Oryzias latipes: one gene and its partner. The protein of the gene in region 1 interacts with the protein of each later gene in a pairwise test. Links are inferred from orthologs where the notes say so. Each region holds a gene or a part of one and is shown on either strand. Other genes may lie near its edges. The genes, in order: rchy1 and aig1.

Region 1 (11,237 bases):
GAAACACAATTTTCTAGCACTGCTTACTTTCTTAATCCCATATAAACCTATACCACTTGATCAATACAGGGGTAGTGTTGCAGCGTGTGTGTGCTGAGCGGGGTGCAATCCACGAGAGACAAGGGGAGGGGCGATTGCAGGTGCAGATGGGGGGGGGTGGGGTGAGCACGGATGAGGAGGACGGAGAAGGTGTCATTCCCAGAATAACTGTTTTGGAGTCATTCTTATTCCGCTCTGGAGGTTGAGGGTTTCCAACGGGAAGTGAACCCCGAAGGAGAATTCCCTTCAGCCCTGAAGGAAATCTCCCCTGCGCTTTTGACCACGGTCGGAAAGACGAGAGAAAAGAAGGAAGTCTTTGCGCAGCGAAAGGTTCAACAGTAGACAAAAGTTCACTTTTAAAAACACAATTGCATGTATTAATATTAAAATGACCAACGTTTGCTAGAGGGGAAGGTTAACAAAAAAGTCCTCTAAACATTACCGACGTTAAATGCATTTTCCCCCAGATTGGTTCTGTACACTATGCAGCATTTCATGCATTTACACCAGGAATAACACTTCAAAAGTACTCCTAAATATCACCATTTTTTATTTCACACCTTACGCTATTTAAAAAGTTATTACAGTCAATATTTATAACAATGATTTAAATGCAAACTTAGGCATTAACTTGAGCAGCTATGTTTTCCCACGCTAACTGTCTCTGTTTTGCAGATGCAGCGGTGTTGCTTTTCTTCTGGAATATGTTCTCATATTCACTGCAACTCTGCAGCAGCACGTCAAGTTCAGCTGGCGAAAAATACGCAGACCTCTTTGTTTTCACGGTTGCCATGGTGACTCGTGATATCTGCGCTCCATTGATAATGGCTTCTTATAGACGCGGTGCGCACGCTCACCTCCGAATCAGTCCACTCAGAGTTGATTGATCTAACGCGGATCAGCTGCTCTGAAACTGAAAACTCAGAGTTGTCAATCTCTCGATTGACCAACTCAGAGTTCAGGTTTGACCTCAGAGTTGGTTGAACCTCCTTTGTGAAACAGGCCCCAGGTGATCTGCGCAGCGTTGAGTTCACCTGGGTGATCTCAAACACGCTTATTGTGCATCTTGGCTGCACCTATTTGGTGTCACCAAGATAAATTTCCATCTGTTTTCTTAACTATTTGTACTGTCATGACAGCGATGGTGCTGTCAGTTTACCTTGTTGTTGCATCTTCAAAAGTGCAGAATAAAATGTGACACTGAATTTAAAACAGCACATTTTAATTTCTGCATCTATTATAAAAGTATTTATTAGTAATACAGTGGAAATTAGTAGATTTGGTTAGAATGTTGATTTACGTTATGCGCCCCTAAATTTTCTGGTTGTGCCCCTAAAATTTTCAGTTGGGGGCCACTGTGCTCCTAGTGAAAAAAGTTAGTCTGGAGCCCTGTCTTGAGTTCAAATATCTCATTAATGTTTTTTGTTTTTTAATAATGCCTCAATGATCAAATATTTTAATGCTATAATACATTTAAAGAAATAATAATTGTAAACTTTTATTTTGTTTTTTTCCATCTTACTGATCCAAAAAATGATCCGAAGTGTGACTCTAAAACTGTGACATTATCCGAACCGGGCATTTTGGGATCTGTTGCACCCCTACTGTTCACCACTATGTCATTTATTTATTTTTTACCATTTTCCAATAAGAAACCAGATTCAGAAAGAAAACTGGATTTAAACATGAAAAAAAAACCAAAACAAATTCCAGCAGATAAAAGTTTATTACACTCACCCTGTTTTGACCATGTCATCGAAGCAAGTCCTGTCAAGAAAACCAAAGACAAGAGGTCAAGATGGAACCGCTTGACTTAACCACAGATGTTTTTAATCTGAAGACACCAGTCTTGATGACACAGGCTGTAGTTTAGAGCTCAGGAAGTAATGTTGTAAGAAAATCAAAGTATATGAACCCTTTGGGCTTTCCTGCAGTTTTATCTAACTTGAAAAGACAAACAAATGATTAGAACAGAAAATTACAATCTGCCCAAACTAATACCACACAGGCATTTAGTCTTTTCTGCTTTTATCAAACACAATATGTAAACATTCACAGAACAAATAGCTTGTTAAGCAAATGCTTTTAAACCTCTTTTGGGAGCCATGACCTTAACCAAATCTAACCTCATCCCATTGAGTGGACTCCAGGTTTCCCATCTCCTGGTCTGATTAGTTCTTGGAGAAGTAATTATGGGTTCACATACTTTTCTCACAGACTATTGTGAATATATATTTTTTTGTTCAATAAAAGCACCTGTCTGTGTTTAGTTTAGAGAGACTGTTCTGTTTCTATTGTTGGAGGTGAAGACAAGAACAAACCGTCTGTCTGATTCTTGCACAAACCCATAATATCCAAAAGCTTCGGGTACTTTTTCTTACATCTGTTTACTACTCACATTCGTCAAGTGATAAACACATTTAAAATGCAAAAAAAAAGTTTCTAATATATGTCAGTAGCACAAATACAGCAAAGTTTTTTTGCTGTTTACAGTCATCTCAAAGTAAAAAGCACATTTTCGATAAAAAATAAATTTATATTTTCTGGATTTATTACTTTTCAAAAGAGTTGACAAGTTTTTTAGACACTTCAACTCATTGGTGGTGTTAATTTGTGTGCTTCTAAAAGGAAATCTGTTTAAAGTATTTATAAAATAGCTTGAAATCATTGCAGCTCGTCTGTAAACTGTTATTTGCAGTTAACACACATAAACCTAAGCCAACAGAAAAGAAAAGTCGCCTCACTTGTGTAAAAGATGGCCACATGGAAGGACATGAGCACCGATCCTGGACGTGTGAATATCCTTTTGACAAAGAGAAAACAAACAAAAAAAAAACAGTTGGGCTCAAATAAAGACGAAAATCCAATATTAGTTTTACATGTACTTTAAGGTTTCATACCTCCATACAAACCGGACAGTTCTGCCTAGAGACATTTTCGACACACTGAAAGTAATCAAAAAAAACCAAAGTCAGTAAAACAAAGTGAGAACTTCTTCCATTAGAGTGAATCAGAAGGAGGTGAATAATCATAATCACTCTGTGGTTTCCTCTCAGATCCTGGGCCAGACACAAATTGCACTTGTCACAATGGAAGTACTTCTCACTGGGTCCAATCCTGCCAATACCAGAACACACATAGTTTACTCATCTGTTAGTGGGTAACTGGATAAAAAAGAAAAAATGAACTATTATTAGGGGTTTAAAGATTAATTTTAACAATTTGATTCATATCAGAATTTGTGGTTGCTGATATGATTCATAGGTGATATCGTTTCATTTTGAACGAACTGATTCACTGACCTAAAACTCCATCCAGGACATTTTTTATGGAGGGAAATTGGGAACAGCATAAACTGAATGAAAACCCATTTTGTAAATTTGAAGAGAAGGAAAACTTGAAAACTGTATTAAGACTTGAAAGTACATTTTGTATACTTCAAGGAATTATTAAAAATTTGAAAAAAAACAAACAAAGAAATTATGACTTTGACCAAAACAAAGTTGAAAGAATTATTGAAAATTTGTCAAAAAAGTAAATTTGACTTTTAAAAAACAACTTTAAACCTGAAAATTATGTTTATTTCTAACAGCAGCCTTTTTTTCTTTTCAACGTCTGTTTTTTTTTTTGGTTCTTCCCCTCTTTGCTTTTAGACCTCAGTTAAAATTTTCAATCCAGACTTTTCGCTGCTGACCCTAATTTTACATGGCGTGGGCTTTGCCTGTTCATGGCGCTGCCTGCATCGTTCCTCCTCTGATGTACCAAACTTTAGGAGAATATTATCACTACCGGTGGTGTTCCTTCGCTATATTTCGCTGTCTCGCTGTTTTATTGATTCTTTTTCACTGTGACTTGTTGGTTTTGTCAATCAGCCTCTTCTGTGGTGTCTCTTCTAGGGATGGGCGGTTATAATTTTTTCCAGCCGATACCGATAACTCACGTTTCCCCTGCAACTGTTTAGATTTCCTGTTTGTTTCTTCATTAGAAATGCACAACTTTTCTTTTACCAGACAATCCCATTGTACTTGAGCTTTTTAACATACAGCAAAAGAATTAGGATCAAGTATAGATTTTTAAAAATAAAGTGTTTCTGAAAACAGCCAGAACAACATCGATCGATAAATCCAAAGCATGCAAATATCTTCAGATACAGAGAAAGACAGAGATTTTTTTCAATAGATATTATGGGTATGTTTCATTTTTCAACAGTTTCATAGTGGTTTAAGTCGATTTGTTGCCTCAGACAGATCGATCTTGTTGGATATTAGGAATATAAATTGATTCACTGATTAAGTCGATCAGTCGCTACACCTCTAATTATTAGACAAAATCCTAACTTTCTCCTGAGACCACCAGTGTGTGAATGAATGTGTGCATGGGTGAATGGGATTGTGACTAAAGCGCTACGGCCCTGAAGAAGGTAGAAAAGCGCCATATAAGTATACGCCATTTAGTAAACCGTTGATGAGTGTTTGCCGTTAATGACACATTTACCTGCATATTCCACAGGGCTGGCAGTGGTACTGCTTCTTATCCTTGTCAAACAAATGGCAGATGTCACAGTAATATTCCCCAAACTGTAACTGACACTGCTGACATGTTTTTTGGGCCTAGAGAAGCATGCACAAACAGGACACATTTAGGGTAACGTGCATAAAAATAAAAAGTCATCAACTACAGCTGGTGGTTTATTTTATTTATGCAACTTACCTGCTGCAAGGTGTTACACTTGGAGCACTGCACCTCTCTGACTTTGAAGCGATCCATCGGGTGGTTCTCCTGAGCATCATGGCACAGACGACACACGTACAGTTTCCCACAGCACGGCGCCTGGAGTTCACAAAAACACGCAAACGTTAGGGGAACATCAACATCTGGATGGGGTTTAACTGGTAGGCATCTCAGGAAACGTTAAAGAAATGTCGGTTAACAATTATATAACGATGTGGCAATGTGCGGCTGAGGAACACAAGCAGCAGCAGAGCAGTAGTCGCAAAATCATAAACTTAATATGAAGTGTATATCCTTTAAACAAAACACATGGAACCCATTAACTTCGACGTCCTGCCAATATCTTAAAGTGGACATGAGCTCCATCTGTCAAAACTGTCATAACGCTCCGGACAAACGGTGACTGGGTCTGCCACTACAGTTGTTGTTGAGTTAGCCCCCTGGCCTGTCCGTCCTTTGTTTCATTTTACGCTAGCATACAGCTTTGCTTCCGCTGAGGCTACAACGGGTACTCACTTTTAACAAACAACCGCGTACGTAATGTTCACAACCGACAGGTGAAGCCATGCTGTCTCCAAACCCAAGCTTCTCGAAGTGTCCGTTGCCACGAAGGCGAGAAGGTTGCTCGCTTCTTCTTCTTCGTTGGACGTTTTTTTAAAAGTTTTTTTTAAATATATATACAGCGGGTGGCAAACAACAGAACGGCGCATTACCGCCACCTTCTGGTCTGGGATGTGAGTTTATTACCGTAGCGTCTGTCAATAGATAACTGTATGCTGTATATGTCCTCCTCAAGATAATTTATATTTTAAAATATATTTCCCTTGAATGTATTATTTATATTCAAGGGAAATAAAGAAGCTTTCCTACTAAATTTGATCTAGAACTAAAAAGAAAAAGTCTGTCCAACTAAAACGTCTTTGTATCGTGTGTAAAATTTATTAAAACACAACAGAAATTGGCAATGATGAATAAAAAAGAATGAAGTGGTTTAAGTATTGATGGTTCTGCAAACTAATCAAGAGTTTGTAAGACTGACGTTTTTCATTGTTTTGGCTGTTAGTGCAGCATCTTTTGTGTACTTTTAGAAGGCCTCTTAAATGTGAAAATAAGCAGACTTTTATTTCTTCAAACATATTTTTAGAACCGTATTGGTTAAGGGACATTTATTCTATTTTTTTTTCTTGTACTGAACAATTTTTTGTTGTGGAAAACTCAGACAATGTTGACTGTTCCCTATATATATTTTATGTTACCAAAATAAAAGCACTGTAAATTTGCTTGGGTAAAAGCAACTTATACGAGATACAGTTATACTAAACATTGTGATAATTAAATAAACAGAATTTTTTCAATTTTATTACAATGAAAGATGTATTAATATTTAGGTAGAGTTTTTTCTAAGTCATACTTTTTAAAAAAAGAAAATGTGTACAATGTGGTAATCTCCCTATATTATTGCTTTATTTCTGTAAAGTTAGGGCATCAGTGATGAAACCCTCAAGTGGTTGCAGAACTTGCAGAGACAACCACTGAAGTCCCAAGATGTGGTGTCAAAAGGGCTGGCAAGAAAGTATTTTCAGTAGTTCAAGAGATTTAATTAAAACAATGTTTTGATGTTTATATTGCTGTAAAAGCAGAAACAATGATGTTATCAAAAGACTGAAATGAATAAGTCAGTGTTAAGGGGAAAATGAAGGTGAAAGCAAACACGCCTTTAGATTTCTCCTTAATTGTACCTCAATTTTTTGTTTTAAATTAAATTCTAACCTGATATTTATTACAACAAGAATACTTTGCTTCTAGAAAATCCCACAAACCTCGTTTACACCCAAGTTGTTTGATATATTCTACATGGGGAAGCATATACTTAGAATATGTATGAAAAAGTCAGCAATTATTCCTGTGAGTTCACGAGTAGAAAAGTAATTTTTTGTTTCCAATATTTCCCATCAAAGACTTTTCTTCCACCTCATTTTTGCCTAGGTATATCTTTATCAGTACGTCCGGTAATCACACGTAGCGCCGCTGGTGTAGTGGTATCATGCAAGATTCCCATTCTTGCGACCCGGGTTCGATTCCCGGGCGGCGCACTGCCGTTTTGTTTATTTTGGCTTGCTTTTCGTTTAGTTGGTTTAGTTAGTTCGTTTCGCAAACTGTAGAAAAACGTAAAAAAAAAAAAGAAAAAAAAATGGTGCAATAACTCCATAACTGTGTTGCAGTACATTCTCTTAAAATTTCCAGTTTTTCTGATTTAAATTAAACGATTAGTTAAATATTTATCGGTCTACACAAAAAAGATGTGGTTTGTTGAAGTCTACCAATTCTTATGGTCATTTTTCTGGTGTGAGAGAATGTTCTTGATGTTGGCAGCATTTTAGCGCGCAGCGAGGTTGACGCTTCTGACGCCATTCCTCCGCCATCTTCAACTTCCTATTGTTTGCTTCAGACTGAGGCTCTCTGTGGTGTGTGTGGAACCAAAATCGCCCACAGACTAATCATTAAATTGTACATATTTATTTTTTATGTTTAGGTTAACTTACGTTTAACATAAATTATTCGTATGTTATTGGACTAAAAGCCTCTCCGGACGCGACCACTACACCTTGACGATGGAAGACGATCAACCTAGAACCTTGTGAGTGAAGCGGCTGTGTCTATGTCCAGGAATGTAATGGCTTCGTCTATTCACCGTGCTTCTCAGACGTTTCCACATTATTTAAATTAAAACTCTGCCACACAATGAGTAATAATGTCTTTAAAAAACAGTCGGTAGTTTTTCTGTTAGTCCAGGTAATTGTGATTACATTGAACAAATATTCTTGTCCTACTAACAAAAACTTAGATTTGAAAATGCGGAACTGTAACTCGCATGGAAATATATTTAGCTAGCTAGTCCCCGGTTATCATTAGCTGAATATGTAAACCATTGCACATATTTTCTTCATCTTTTTGTAATAACAATTATGCTCGCTATAGCAATTAAATGTGGTATTCGTTATTTACATTGTGACGAATGGGTCTTGTTTCACAAAGCACGGCTTTGCTGCTAAAGCGAGCTCGAGTCGAGGCCCTTCAAACCGGTTAGCGACGTTTTTTAGCTAGCTTTAAAAGTGAGCCACGTCAACGGACTCGATCTACACGGGACACCCCCGCTGAGAAGGGGGGCGCACATAACTTGCTTGTGTACAGTCTTGTCTTGTGCACCCTATTCTGTAATGTATGGGCCTCCTTCGCCATATTATTCCCCCCAATTATATTACCCGTATTTGATAGTTAGTGTGGTTGTTGCTAGCCCGGCATAGAACCCTTTGTTTGTATGCCACTTCCTGTTTGAAGTCGCTTATTTCTCTCGTTCCTCGTAGATACGTGGGGAATCTGTCCAGGGATGTCACAGAGCCTCTCATTCTGCAGGTCTTTACACAGATAGGACCCTGCAAGAGCTGTAAAATGATTGTTGATGTAAGTGTTGGTTTTTCAACTGCAAATGTCCTGATCTGGAGACACACAGGAACATTTATGTGAACATTACCTGAAATATTCTTGTCATTTTAATCTGACACACCGGGCATTAGTGCTTAGGTCTTCTCATCGGTAGGGATTGAAGTGTTGACCTGAGATGTGTTGGTTTCCTGTTAACAGACGGCAGGAAATGATCCATACTGTTTTGTGGAGTTCTATGACCACAGGCATGCTGCTGCTTCACTGGCAGCCATGAATGGAAGGAAAATAATGGGTAAGGTAAGCTATCGTATCTACAGGGTGAGTGGGGATGGGAAATGAATCTTTTGATTTAAAAAATACATGAATTTGTCTGCTTAAGCACTTAAATTATTTTTTTTATCAGACACTGGGTTTGTTTTGTGTAAAACCTACCGACATGTTTCGGCGGAATGCCTTCCACCTTCGTCAGGGTCGTCCCATGTCGGTAGGTTTTACACAAAACAAACCCAGTGTCTGATAAAAAAATAATTTAAGTGCTTAATAGAACTTATAGACACAATGAACTTCATTGAATCAATTTGTCTGCTTACTTGAGTATTCTGTTGACTTAACTGGTTAAAAATCACAGGAATTGTAAAGAACAAAGTACCGTAAGATAGAATATATTTTTAAGTCCTTTAAGGTGTCTGTTATTTAGGTTCTTCTGTTTGTCTGTTTTTAGCCTGAATGTAAAAAAAAACCCAACAAGATTAAATAAGCATATCTGCAATTCTTCTGCATGGGATAAAAATAGGATTTTATAATAATTAAAAACCAGATAAATTTACATGAACTAGATAATGTTCCTTGATTACAATGTCGGTGGACTGCATTATTACAAACGTTTAATTTATTAATTTGGGTGGGCAGCCCAGTTCAAATACTTTAGTTTAAAAACATGTTAATAGTTGAGGTTTTTTAATGATGTAAACATACCCCCCACCTGGTCTGTTTTTTCTTCTGCCATTGTCTGCAGGAGGTCAAAGTTAACTGGGCCACAACACCAACCAGCCAGAAAAAAGACACGAGTAGTAAGTTTAACAAGTATTCCTTCACCAATGCAGGAAGTGAATTCTACAGCACATTGTCTTTACTTAAAAGAGATCATTCAAACCGTGGAAACTAAGTTTAATAGCAGATTAATTGTTTTTTTTTTCCCCCTCAATAGATCATTTTCATGTTTTCGTTGGAGACCTTAGTCCAGAAATCACCACAGAAGATGTTAAAGCTGCCTTTGCCCCATTTGGAAGGATATCGTAAGTGACAAGACTGAACAGTCTGTGCTCTTTGTAAAGCACAGAAAATAGTTAGCCAACATTTAATACAAAGCAAATGTTATTTTCTGAAGGCTAGCCTGAAAGTGTGCTTTTCATTCTTTACTGTGTTCTCTTGATCTTTAACAAATACAAGTACTTTGCAATTATGTCAAGTCAGTTTTTGACAGTAGAACTATTAACTTAAGTATTTAAATGTTTGCTCTGCTCATTGAGGTAGATCTTTCCTGAATGGAAAATGCTTGTTTCCTTTTATCCACTGAAAAAAAAAATAGAAACAAAAAAAACCGACCCTGTAAAAAGAAAGGGTTGTCAGTGGAAAATGCAAGCAAAAACATAAGAGATATACATTTTATTAAAGACATTAAACAGTTACGGTTCATGGTGACTTACAGCTGTCTCACACCATGCCTAAGGTTTGTTTCCAAGGCAATTGAAAATTGGCTAACAAAATTTTCATAAAACAAAAAGAAGTAGGTTGGGTATAAAACAGGCTATGCATGTTAGTTTGCACAGGAACTCTTTGTCTCTATTTAATTCTAGCATGTACTCTTTGCGTTCTTCTGGGTGTTTCTAATTCTGATGCTTTTCTCCACAGAGATGCTCGTGTTGTTAAAGATATGGCTACAGGCAAATCCAAAGGCTATGGCTTTGTGTCTTTCTTCAACAAATGGGTTAGTAGGAAATATCTGGCGTTTGGTGTTATTTTTTGGGATTTTGAAACCAGTTAAACACGCACTCTGATCCAAATGGTGTTTTTAACATGTTCTTGTGGAATTTTGCTGATGATGGAGGAGATCTAAAGAAAGTTTTTATTCAAATAATTTAGGAGCAGACAAAATGCCATTTTTAAAAGGCTTGAAGCTGTGATATCGAAGCTACAATCAGCTGGACACAAGCTCCCTGCTCTGATTCATTCTGATCCTTCCACCTGTAGACAAATAGACCCATGAACGTCTTTGTTTTCCTAGTCTGAGCTGACATCTGGATCAAAGTGTCCGGCTGGATAGCTCAAATATTGCTCACCATTTTTGTTACACAGCTAATGTTAGGTTGGGGGTGTGAGGGGCTGTAAGCTAGCAGGAGAGCGTGTAGACTGATGGGTGAAGGGAAGTGGAGACGGGCTTACTCTGTGCCAGTGATCCCACCCATACCTCTGAGATAAAATGTTAAAGAATGACTGCTGCTCTGTAACTATCTCCTAAATAATGGCACAGATTTTTGATTTAGGCTAAAAATGACATAATCATGATTCAAAGATGACTGAAAACGCTTTGACAATAGATCAAAAGATGGTCGGAGTGGGACTTTAAATAGTGTTTATGAAAAGAATCATGGTTTCTAGATTTTGTTTGTGTTCTGCCTTTTTTATTTTTATTTTTAAATTCTGTCCTTAAGTCCACTTGAGTTGTGACCCGGCTGACCTTGTTGTTCCAGGATGCAGAGAACGCCATTCAGCACATGGGAGGCCAGTGGTTAGGTGGCAGACAGATTCGAACTAACTGGGCCACAAGAAAGCCCCCTGCCCCAAAGACCACCTATGAAAGTGTGTGCTCGGTGGATTGTGCAGATTGCTAAACGTTGAATAGAATGTAATGTCTGGTTTCACCTCTCCAGGTAATTCCAAGCACCTGTCCTTTGAGGAAGTGATGAGTCAGTCCAGCCCGAGTAACTGTACTGTGTACTGTGGTGGAGTCAGCTCTGGTCTCA
Region 2 (10,681 bases), on another chromosome or scaffold:
TCGCTCTGTTTGTTAATAATGATAATTTTGAGGAGTCTATTTGCTATTTTGTTGGGAGCAGCAAATGGTAAATGGTAAATGGCGTATACTTATATAGCGCTTTCTACCTTCTTACGAAGGCCCAAAGCGCTTTACAGTCACAGTCCCATTCACCCATGCACACACACATTCAGACACTGGCGGCGGCTCCGCTCCACTTGTGCCAACCTCCCACCAGAGGCAAGGTGGGGTTCAGTGTCTTGCCCAAGGACACTTCGACACATGGGCGGGAATCGAACCTGCAATCTTATGATCATGGGTCGACCGCCCTACCGCTGCACCACGGACGCCCGTACACGCCAGCAAATTACACAGGAATCACGTCCGCTTAGTCTGTTTTAATGTTATAAAGTTCTTTTTACAAGCTTTATGCTTTGTGGTTGTTTGTGGTCAAAGCATTCCTCACTTTAGATGAGGTACTGCAAAAAAATGTATAAACTGTTAACAAAGTTAATTAATACATTTATTAAGCTTATAACCAGTTTAGTAATATGGATTTTGAAGACAATGGTCTGACTTTAGATGTTAGTAAATCTTATTAACACTTTCAGGTATTTGCAAGACATCTATAATGCTTATAAATATCTTAGTAGCATCTCACACATTAATAAAGCCTATTATTTGTTAAGTTAGTTAATAAAACTTATGAAGCCTATTAACACTTAGGCTTGCGTGAGACATTTATAATGCTAATAAATGTCATACTAGAACCCCAAACAATAATAATACTTCTTAATTTATTAACAAAGGTTGTTAATAAATGTTATTAAGTTTATTAACACTTACACATTTGTTAGGCACCTATAATGTCAAGAAATGTATCATTAGCATCTTAAAATCATCCTAAAAATAATGCTTGTAAATGTTTTAACTAAGTAATTTAATTAACCTTATTGAGCCGGTTTAGCTCGTGCTGGTTTGCGGCGCCTTCCGTCCGTGAAACCAGGGTTCAAATCCGGGCTGCTCCCTGTTCCCTTCTCTACTTCTGTGCCGGTCCCAAGCCTGTTTGCTTTGAGAAGGTTGCGTCAGGAAGGGCATCCGGCGTAAAACATTGCCAAGTTTACCATGCGACTAGTTCGCTGTGGCGACCCCTGTTGGGAAAAGCCGAAAGAGAAAGAAGAATTTAATTAACCTTATTAGACTTATTGCTAATAAATGTCTTACTAACAGCCTAAAAATTCTATTATAATGCTTTTTAATGTGTTAACAAAGCTTGTTTTTTTTGTTTTTTTTTAACAAAGCTTGTTAAGGAATCTTAATATGAAGTATTACCGGAAACTATAACCTTAACTATGTGAACAAAGTAAACAAAAAAGGTGGAGGAGTCGCAATTTATGTTAAAAAAATACAAAGTTTACAGAAATTGATAAATTGTCAGTTGAAGTAGTTGGAATACTGGAATGCCTTACAATTCAAATATTAAACCAATCAGGGAAAAATGTCATCATAAGCTGTGTTTCTAGGTCGCCAGGGTCAAGCTTAGAAGTGTTCAGTGACTGGATGGAAAAGATGTTTAGCTCTCTAAATAACAAAATATTATACATCTGTGGAGATTTCAATATGGATCTGATAAACCCCAGCAAACATAAAGCCACCGACGACTTTATCAGCAGAATGTATGGAATGAGTTTCTATCCAACCATAACAAGACCCAGCAGAATCACTACTCAAAGTACTACTCTAATTGATAAGATATGTAAGGGTTAATGGCCGACGAAGTGTGGGTTATTACTTTCTTTTTTTTTTTTTTTTTTTTTTTTTAACTTGTCCTGTCCAACAGCTAGGCAGACAGATGAGAGCTGAGGGCCTCTTGTGTTGGACATATTTTACTTTAACAAGAGGGGTTATTAATCTTCTGACAAACCAAAGGTGTGACTGAACAAACCCCTTTTGTAATTGAGGCCAAACTTTATTCATTTCAACCATGATTGAAAATCTTTGGTGTTGGACCGGACGGAAAAGGAAAGAAGGGAAGAAGAGGGAGGGATGTCAGAGGGGGGGGTGATAGTGAGAGGGGGGGGTAAGACCATGAAGCAGCATAGAGCAGACAGGTTTACTGGTTGTTTATCGTTACGGTACAGTTCCAATGTAGTACAAAAAGGGCGGGGCCTGTTCACACACACTCAAATATTATCAACACACCTGCTAGCTGCAAGAAATGTTCACATGTCAACATGAACACAAAACAGATAGTGTTCACACACGCATACTTATGCCTTAAAACCAACTAGTGTGAAATCTTTCATTCATTCAATCATGCAAACTATTAGTGCAAAGGTGAGCTAACACCTGTGCTCAGGTGAGTGTTTATGTTCTTCTAAAATGGATGGTGGAATGTGAAAAGAAGGAGGAGGAGCGCCCAGCCACCCCCACACCCAGACCCCCGCCGCAGCAGCAGCGGCAGCGGCAGCCGGAATTCCCCCAACGCCACACGGGAACAGGCAGGGAACAACCGCCCCCTGGGCGACCAAGACCGCCACCCAGGCCAGGGCCAGCAGGACCGCCGCGTGGCCCCCAGAGCCAGAGAGCAGGGAGGCGCGGAGGGAAAGAGAGCGCCGCCCCAGCCCAGCCAGGAAAGCAGCCCCCCCCCGCCGCGCCGGAAGAGCCCAACGCAGGGCCCCACCGGAGAAGGACGCCCACAGCCCCAGACGAGCACCCCACCACCACCCAGGAGTTCCGGGCATCCCCCCGCCCCAACCCCAGGTACGAGCCAGGACCCCCCAAGGGAGACCCGCTCCGCACTCCAGGCAGCCACCCACCCGGCCCACGGTTGGTCCAGGGAGGAGCAAGGCAGGGGCCCGCCGCCCCCGCCCAGGAGGGGGGAACCCCGGGGAAAAAAGTGTGGCCCACAAGGGGTGTTATAAATATGGCCCGACCAGGCTCGGCCATGTTGGAAGTTTGGCGGGGCCCAGCGCTCAGGGGCAAGGACCAGGACCCAGGGACACGAACACCCCCGGTTCAGGTGTAATATGAACCCCCCCACCGTGCGGAGAGAGCACCGCCGGGCCCAGGGAGCCGGCACCCAAGGGACACGGCCGCCATCGCCAAGGGGCCCGCACCCCCCACCAGGGAAGGGTTAGGGGACAGATGGACCCAGGTCCCCCTCTTCCTTGCAAAATGTGTGTGCGTGTATGTGTGTTTGAGAGGGTGTGTGTGTGCATGTGTGTGTGATTATGTTGGAATGTATATATTGAAGGGGGAGGGGTGTGTGTACTAAGGGGGGTGCAGTTAAAATTGGCGAGTAGGGCACTAAGGGGACATCTCCTGATTACTCACAGTGATGTCCCCCCACCCTCCCCACCAAGGGGCCCTAAATGTCTAAGGTGCGGTTAAAATTGGTGGGTAGGGTGCCAGGAGGACATCTGCTGCTTGCTTGCAGTGATGTCCAAGCACCCCCCCCTACCAAGGACCCTACATGTCTAAGGTGCAAATAAAACCGAAAGAGGGGGGGCCCACTCCATACGGCAACCATAGGAGGGGGGCCACTGCCAAGTAACCCCCCCCCCCCCCCCCCCCAAGGCGCATCGCAGACTAGACCCCCCACCCCCTCACCCTAATATGAGGTTATATGAGGAAGGGGGTAAGTTGGGGACAGCTGGTCGACTGTGCCCCGGTGGTCAAACAGCTGTCCCCCAGCCCCCGCCCCCCCCCCCCCCCCCCCCAGCAAAGGGGCCAGGGCCACCCAGCCCAGGGGCCCCACCCCCGGAGGCGCCGACACCCCAAGCCCGGCACCACCCACCCCACACAGAGAGAGAGGAGCCAGAAAGCGTCGCCCCCCCCCCCCGGAGCAAGCCCAGGCCCCCACCCCCAGACGCCGGCCCTAGAGGAGCTCTGGTCAGGCCTTGGCGGGACCGAGGAGGCCAACCGGCCGAGGCAACCACTGATTGCCTCAGCGGAGACCCCGACCCGCTAGCCCCCCCGATCCGTACCAATAATGCCCCCCCCCCTCCCCCCCAGAACGCCCCCCCACAGGACAGGGCCGACAAGCCCCCCACCCCACACCACCCCGGACCCCCAGACCCCTTTCTAACGCACGCCGTGGAAGCCTATTGCTTCCGCAAAGTGCGTTAAAAAGTAATAATGCACACTTTGAAGGCCATTAACCCACTTATACCATGGTCACTTACAAAAGTAATACATATTAACCAGTTTTTAGTCCTTTATTCTTGTTTTTTCCCCGATTTGGATCGCTTTTCTCACAAAAGGCGGACTATTTGTTACGTGATGCGGCGCATAGATGTTACTCATTATGTAACGTCTAAATAAGCTCTGTGCTTGGAGCGGAACAACTGGACCCAAACGGCCACCGTAGCCGGTCGTCACATGATGTAAACAGATTAGGAAAGTAGCAACCAAGCCACAGACAAATGTAAAGCAACAATTGTCATATTTTTGAAGAGGAAAAAGGAGTCCAACTGTTTATTTGTTAGAATGTTTATTTTAACACGGCTGAAAACGTTTCTTACATGCTTTTTGGTGTCTCGTTATGAGGCATGCACCCTGTGCTGCTGTGACATCACCCTAAAAGCTACCTCGTAGTTCCTTAACAAGACAATGCCATAAAACCACAACAGATTAACCGGAGACAGGTCCATGGTTTTTTTTGCACGGTGGCGCAGTGGTTAGCGCTCTTGCCTCACAGCAAGAAGGCCTCCGGTTCAAGTCCCGGCTGGGGGACATGAAAAAACTACATCAACAGGGGACCTTTCTGTGTGGAGTTTGCATGTTCTCCCCGTGCATGAGTGGGTTTTCTCCGGGATCTCCGGCTTCCTCCCACCGTCCAAAAACATGCTACAAAGGTTGATTGGCAACTCTAAATTGTCCATAGGTGTGAGTGTGAGAGTGAATGGATGTGTGATTGAGGATATTCTACCCTGCGACAGACTGGCGACCAGTCCAGGGCATCCCTTGCCTACGCCCAAGTGGCCGGGATAGACTCCGGCAACCCGGTGACCCTGAAAGGGAATAAACGGTTAAGAAGATGAAAAAAAAGATCCATGGTTTGTCTCATTTTTTATTTTATTTTTCAGCTTTCTGCAAGGAAAACTAGTAGCTCTTCAGTGTGAGTTTTGCCGCGCCGTGGGTGGGAGTAGTGGGGCGATGGGGGGGTAGAGGTGGAGCACCAGGAGGGAGGGGTGTGGCACCTGTCACATTAAATTAGATGAAAAGGGTCTCCAGTTTGGGGGGAGGGGGGGGGCACACCTGTTACCAGTCAAAGTTTGATTTTCTCTCTGATGTCTTTGAGTCACTGGCTTTCCTCTACTGACTGCTTCCTGTTTGTTCTGTGTTCCTCGGCTTATGCTCACCTTTTGGATCTGCTTTGCTGACTGTTTGTCTTTGTTTGTAGTGAAGTTTGCCAACAGAAACCACTTCTACTGTGTTTTCTGAAAAATCCTTCTCCATTTCCCCTTCTCCTCCCAGCATACCACCGTTCTGCCTTTTGTTATCATCGAGATGAGGACGACTCACCACAAGTATCCCAGAAGGCTGTGGGGTCTGGTGGCAGTATGTGTCTTCAGCATGGCCTACATCAGCTGGTAAGGAGTTTCTTCCACATTTCCACCCAGAAGCCAGGACTGGATGATCACATTTACTGAAGTGAAGTCTGCTGCACTTTACTGTTTTGTTGTTCCTCACACTGTTGTGAAAAATGCTGAAATTGAGTTCACATGTAAATGTCCAACTGGTGCATCTAATGCAGTGTTTCCAAAGCCTGGTCTTAAGGCCACTGTCCATGCTTCCTTCTCAAACACACTTTATGTAGCCTATCATCCACCAATGCAGAGACCTTAAAGCAGCCATTGTGAGGATTGTGAATTTCTGTTTGGTTTTCGTCATGATCTGTTTTGAGTTGTCCCACAGTCACACCAGTTTTAGCTTTGCCACGATTCACAGCTGTCTTCATTTCAGTTAATTGCCCTCAGTCTGTTCAAGTGGTTTTCAGTTCTTACTTGTCAGGTCATCTGTTCTGTTCTAGTCTGCTTTGTCACCCTTTTTGATGCTCCCATGGTTTTGTCATGTTTTAGTTTATGTATCAAATGTTTTAGTTTCTGTCACCAAACCTGGTCTCCTGCATTTTTGGTGGTTCTACACCACCAGTTCCTGACGTGTTTGGGCTGCATAACAAGGAGAACCTGAGAACCAAGGTTCACAAACACTGAGCTGTGTTTGTGATGTGATCCAGACTATTTCATAATTTTAGTTTAACATGCAACCACCCCCACCACCACTAACAAGTCTGTATGAAACACTGACACAGAGCTATGTCTGCTTTCAGGACCTGCTGGGTGCACCATGTGACTGGTGTGTGGGTGTACCCAGTTCTGGAGCGCGTCTCCTCCATTGCTCGAGCTGCTTTCTTCGGGACCATGACACTATTGATCTTCATTCTCTACGTCCTGGGGGAGATCCTCAACAGCTACATTTGGGAACAGCCACAAAAAGGCATGCATATGGCAACAGCAGCAGAGACTGGCTGAGCTTTAAGTTCAAAGAACATACACGTGCATAAACACGCACATGTACAAAGACATTCAGACACACACACAGGTCTGCAAGTAACCTAAAATCTTTGTCTTGTTAGATTTTATGGACAGTGTAAAACAAGAACATATCAATCACACTTTGCTCGTTTTGCAGTGTCTTATTTTTCATTTTTCTTTTGTGTCTTTTACAGAAAAGGTTAAAGATGAGTGAAGCCTCCCCGAAAGCAACAAAGGAAGACAAGTTTCGCCCACTCGGGACTGCAAGAACAAAGCCAAATGTGCAAGATGTTTATAATCCAAAAAACTAAAACAGAAAAAGAACTGTTTTTTTCTCCAGGAGTCTCTGCATCAACATAAATACATGTTGTAAGCGCATAAATACAATGGGGAAAAAATATTTGATTCTCTAATGATATTTTCATATTGAATCTGCATGCTGTCTAAAGATTAGAAAAGTATCCAATGCTCATAGATACACTGTCAGAGACAGAATTTTAAAAGAATCCAGGAAATCACATTCTTTGATTTTTAAAGAATTTATTCTTATAATAGTGCAGAAAATAGGTATTTATCTCCTAAAACCTAACAAGAACCGACAACAAGCTTCTCACAGACCTATTGCTTATTCTTTTAAGTCCCACGCCAATCATCTTTTGATCTATTTTAAATTTGTTCCTAGAGGTCTTTTAATTATGATTGTGACGTTTTTAGCCTAAATTAGAAAAAACTGTTGTTGCTTTTCATCAGTTATTGCGGAGCGGTAGTAGTTCATTAGAAATCAGAGTTGTAGGCAGAAAGTAAGCCCGCCCCTACTTCAGTCCCTCACACTCCTTAGGCTAAAATTTGTGGTGCAACAAAAATGGCGAGCAATATTGGAACTACCCAGCCAGCCAGTTTTGAGCTAGATGCAGCTCAGACAACAAAATGGAAGACGTACATGGATCAGTTGGTCTGACAGTGGATGCATCTGAATGGAGCAGGGCAGAGAGCTTGTGACTCGCGGTTGTAGCTACTACGTCACAGCTACGAGCTTTTCGAAATGGCATTTTTTCGTCTGCTCCTGATTGTCAACAATTTGAACAAAGAAATATCCTGAAATAGGTTTTCAAGCTCAACATTTTCTTTATGTGTGTCCTACATTATTTTTTATTTTTATTTTTTTTATACACTGTATTTTATCCCACGAAGGGAAATTCTGTCTCCGCATTTGACCCATCCCCCTGGGGAGCGGTGAGCTGCAGCCGAAACCGCGCTCGGGAGGCAGTAGCGTTAAGGGTCTTGCCTAAGGACCCTCACTGGGTGATGTTAACTGCTCGCCATTGATATGGTATTTGCCCCCAGTACCATTGCTCATTCCCCTCCGGGAATCAAACCCTGGTTTCCTGCATGGTAGCTTCCCACCTTACCAACCGAGCTACCCAGCCGCAATTTTTTATCCCCCTTCGTGGGATAAAAAATACATTATGAGAAAAATGCCACAAAAACCTGTTAAAATGACCAGAAACACAATTTCCATTTGCATGGGTCTTTAAAGACCCATTCAATCTGTCCCGTGTTATCTCTATAAATGGCCCCTGTCTACACTTAAAGGGCCTATACCATGCAAAATCTTTTTTTGAGCTTTTAAGTGTAATGTTAATTCCTCACTAAAAACAACCCCAAAGTAGTATTTTGATCCATTCACGGATTTCTGAGTTTTCCTCTAAAAACCTGCTCTCTGAGCACCAGGCCCCCCCGTCCATGAAAATGAGTTCTCACGAGCTGACCAGTCAGAAAACAGCACCTTCCAGAAAGAGTCTGCACTGCCAGCACCGCCCCCAGGCTAACTGACACACCCACTTTCTCCATGGAGCTGGTGGTGATCAGCTAAACACGTTCCTTCTACATGCACAATGTGCACATTCATCTTTGCAAAAGTTCAGATGTTGTTGGTTTTCATGGACAAAAACGCAGACATGTTGCCAAGGCCGACTCTAGCACTGGGTGGCACCCACAAGGACAGAAAGGGGAGCCTTAGAGATTGAGGAGTCCTTGGGGACAGCTGTTTGACCACCGGGGGACAGTCTACCAGCTGTCCCCAACTTGCCCCCTTCCTCATATAACCACATATTAGGGTGAGGGGGTGGGGGGTTTAGCCTGCGATACGCCTTGGGGGGGGGGGGGGGGGGCTACTTGGCAGTGGTCCCCCTCCCATGGTTGCCGTATGGAGTGGGCCCCCCCTCTTTCGGTTTTATTTGCACCTTAGACATGTAGGGCCCTTGGTAGGGGGGGTGCTTGGACATCACTGCCAGCAAGCAGCAGATGTCGTCCTAGCACCCTACCCGCCAATTTTAACTGCACCTTAGACATTTAGGGCCCCTTGGTGGGGAGGGTGAGTGGACATCACTGTGAGTAATCAGGAGATGTCCCCTCAGTGCCCTACCCGCCAATTTTAACTGCACCCCCCTTAGTACACACACCCGTCCCCCCTCAAAATATACATTCCAACACAAACACACACACATGCACACACATTTTGCAAGGAAGGTGGGACTTAGGACCATCTGTCCCCTACCCCTTCCCTGGTGGGGGGTACGGGGCCCTTGGCAACGGCGGCCGTGTCCCCTCCTGGGCCCGGCAGTGCTCTCTCCGCGCAGGGAGAGGGTTCACATTACACCTGAGCCGGTGGTTCTGGTCCTTGCCCCTGAGCGCTGGGCCTCGCAAAATTTCCAACTGTGGCCGAGCCTGGTCGGGCCATGTTTACAACACCCCTTGTGGGCCCCCCTTTTCCCCGGGGTGCTCCCCTCCTAGGCGGGGGCGGCTGGCCCCTGCCTTGCTCCTCCTTGGACCAACCGTGGGCCGGGTGGGTGGCTGCCTGGAGTGCGGAGCATGTGGACATTTTTGCAGCTAGCAGGTGTGTTGATAACATTTGAGTGTGTGTGTGGACAGGCCCCGCCCTTTTTATACTACATTTGAACCTTACCGTAATGATAAACAACCAGTAAACTTGTTGCTTTATGCTGCTTCATGGTCTTATCCCCCCCTCCTATTATCACCCTCCTACCCCCTCCCCCCCCCCCTCTCTCTAACATCCCCCTCTCTTCTTCCCTTCTTTCCTTTTCCGTCCGGTCCAACACCAAAGATTTTCAAACATGATTGAAATTAATAAAGTTGGCCTCAATTACAAAAGGGGTTTATTCAGTTTACTATGAAATGCTTAAGAAAAGCATGATAAAGGCCCTTCAAAGAGTCACACTGCAACCTCTCCTGCCGTGACCAAGACCAAAGAGCTGTCTAAGGAACCGGGGACAAGAGCATATACCTATCAAGATTGGCACGGACTACCGTAATATACAAGAAGCAACAACTTGGTGAGCAGAGATAAAATGTTGGAGGAATTATGAGAAAAGGAAAAAAACAAAAAACAATCTCTCTCCACCTGAAGCTCCATGCAAGATCTCATCTGGTGGGGTACAAATTATCTAGAGAACAACACGGAAATAGGGTAGAGGCTTCGTTAATTGTCAGAATTAACAAAGCCTCTTGGATAAGAAGTGAAACGTCTTCTAACTTTAAAAACTAAGTCCAGATGACAGCCCCTAAACCTACTACTACGATGTTCTTGCCTATCCAAATTTATTCAAGTTATAAACTGACCAATCAGTGGCTTCAGTAAAAGAAGGAAGTAAAAAATGCAACGGATTGTTGATGTGTAGAGGTCAATCAAATATGCAAGCCCCCACTGACCAAAGATACTTTCATTGAATCCACAACAAAGAGGCTAATAGCTCTGTTTTTGCTAATGTAAGTATCATTGTCTTTTTATTCATCCATCTTCTAAACCCGTTTGTCCCTTTTGGGTCGCGGGGCTGCCGGAGCCTATACCGGACATCCCCGGATGTCCCCTGCCTAGTCTGTTAGGGCCACAAATTACACACCCACAACACCGGGAGCCGGGCATCACGTCACAGCCTGGGGGTGTCTGTGTCACTGTGGTGTGGGCTCTGGCCCTTATCTCGAGCACCAGCCTTCTCCAAAGTTTCAACTGTGGGTTTGCCTGGTCGGGCCCTGTTTACAACACTACTTGTGGACCCTCACTTGTCTTGGGTGTCGTCCTCCTGGTGAGGGGTGGCTGGCCCCTGCCTTGCTCTCTCCTGGACCAACCGTGGGCTGGGTGG

What was found.
Region 2: the proteins of rchy1 (region 1) and aig1 interact in binary tests that used the Homo sapiens proteins (3 or more experiments, as listed by UniProt). The link is inferred for Oryzias latipes from reciprocal best matches to the Homo sapiens genes RCHY1 and AIG1.

Annotation. Positions count from the first base shown.
Region 1 is NC_019867.2:25,248,429-25,259,665, reverse strand, and holds the start of rchy1 (RING finger and CHY zinc finger domain-containing protein 1), read right to left. Parts: upstream 5,432-11,237; 5' UTR 5,338-5,431; coding exon 5,287-5,337; intron 4,870-5,286; coding exon 4,750-4,869; intron 4,650-4,749; coding exon 4,534-4,649; intron 3,157-4,533; coding exon 3,078-3,156; intron 2,985-3,077; coding exon 2,940-2,984; intron 2,843-2,939; coding exon 2,784-2,842; intron 1,807-2,783; coding exon 1,777-1,806; intron 1-1,776. Other genes in the region: nucleolysin TIA-1, read left to right, coding at 7,383-7,408, 8,136-8,232, 8,413-8,511, 9,230-9,284, 9,422-9,509, 10,126-10,201, 10,965-11,073, 11,145-11,237. UniProt on the Homo sapiens protein: E3 ubiquitin-protein ligase that mediates ubiquitination of target proteins, including p53/TP53, TP73, HDAC1 and CDKN1B. Mediates ubiquitination and degradation of p53/TP53; preferentially acts on tetrameric p53/TP53.
Region 2 is NC_019882.2:23,471,267-23,481,947, reverse strand, and holds the end of aig1 (androgen-induced gene 1 protein), read left to right. Parts: intron 1-5,460; coding exon 5,461-5,576; intron 5,577-6,316; coding exon 6,317-6,483; intron 6,484-6,715; coding exon 6,716-6,735; 3' UTR 6,736-6,921; downstream 6,922-10,681. UniProt on the Homo sapiens protein: Hydrolyzes bioactive fatty-acid esters of hydroxy-fatty acids (FAHFAs), but not other major classes of lipids. Show a preference for FAHFAs with branching distal from the carboxylate head group of the lipids.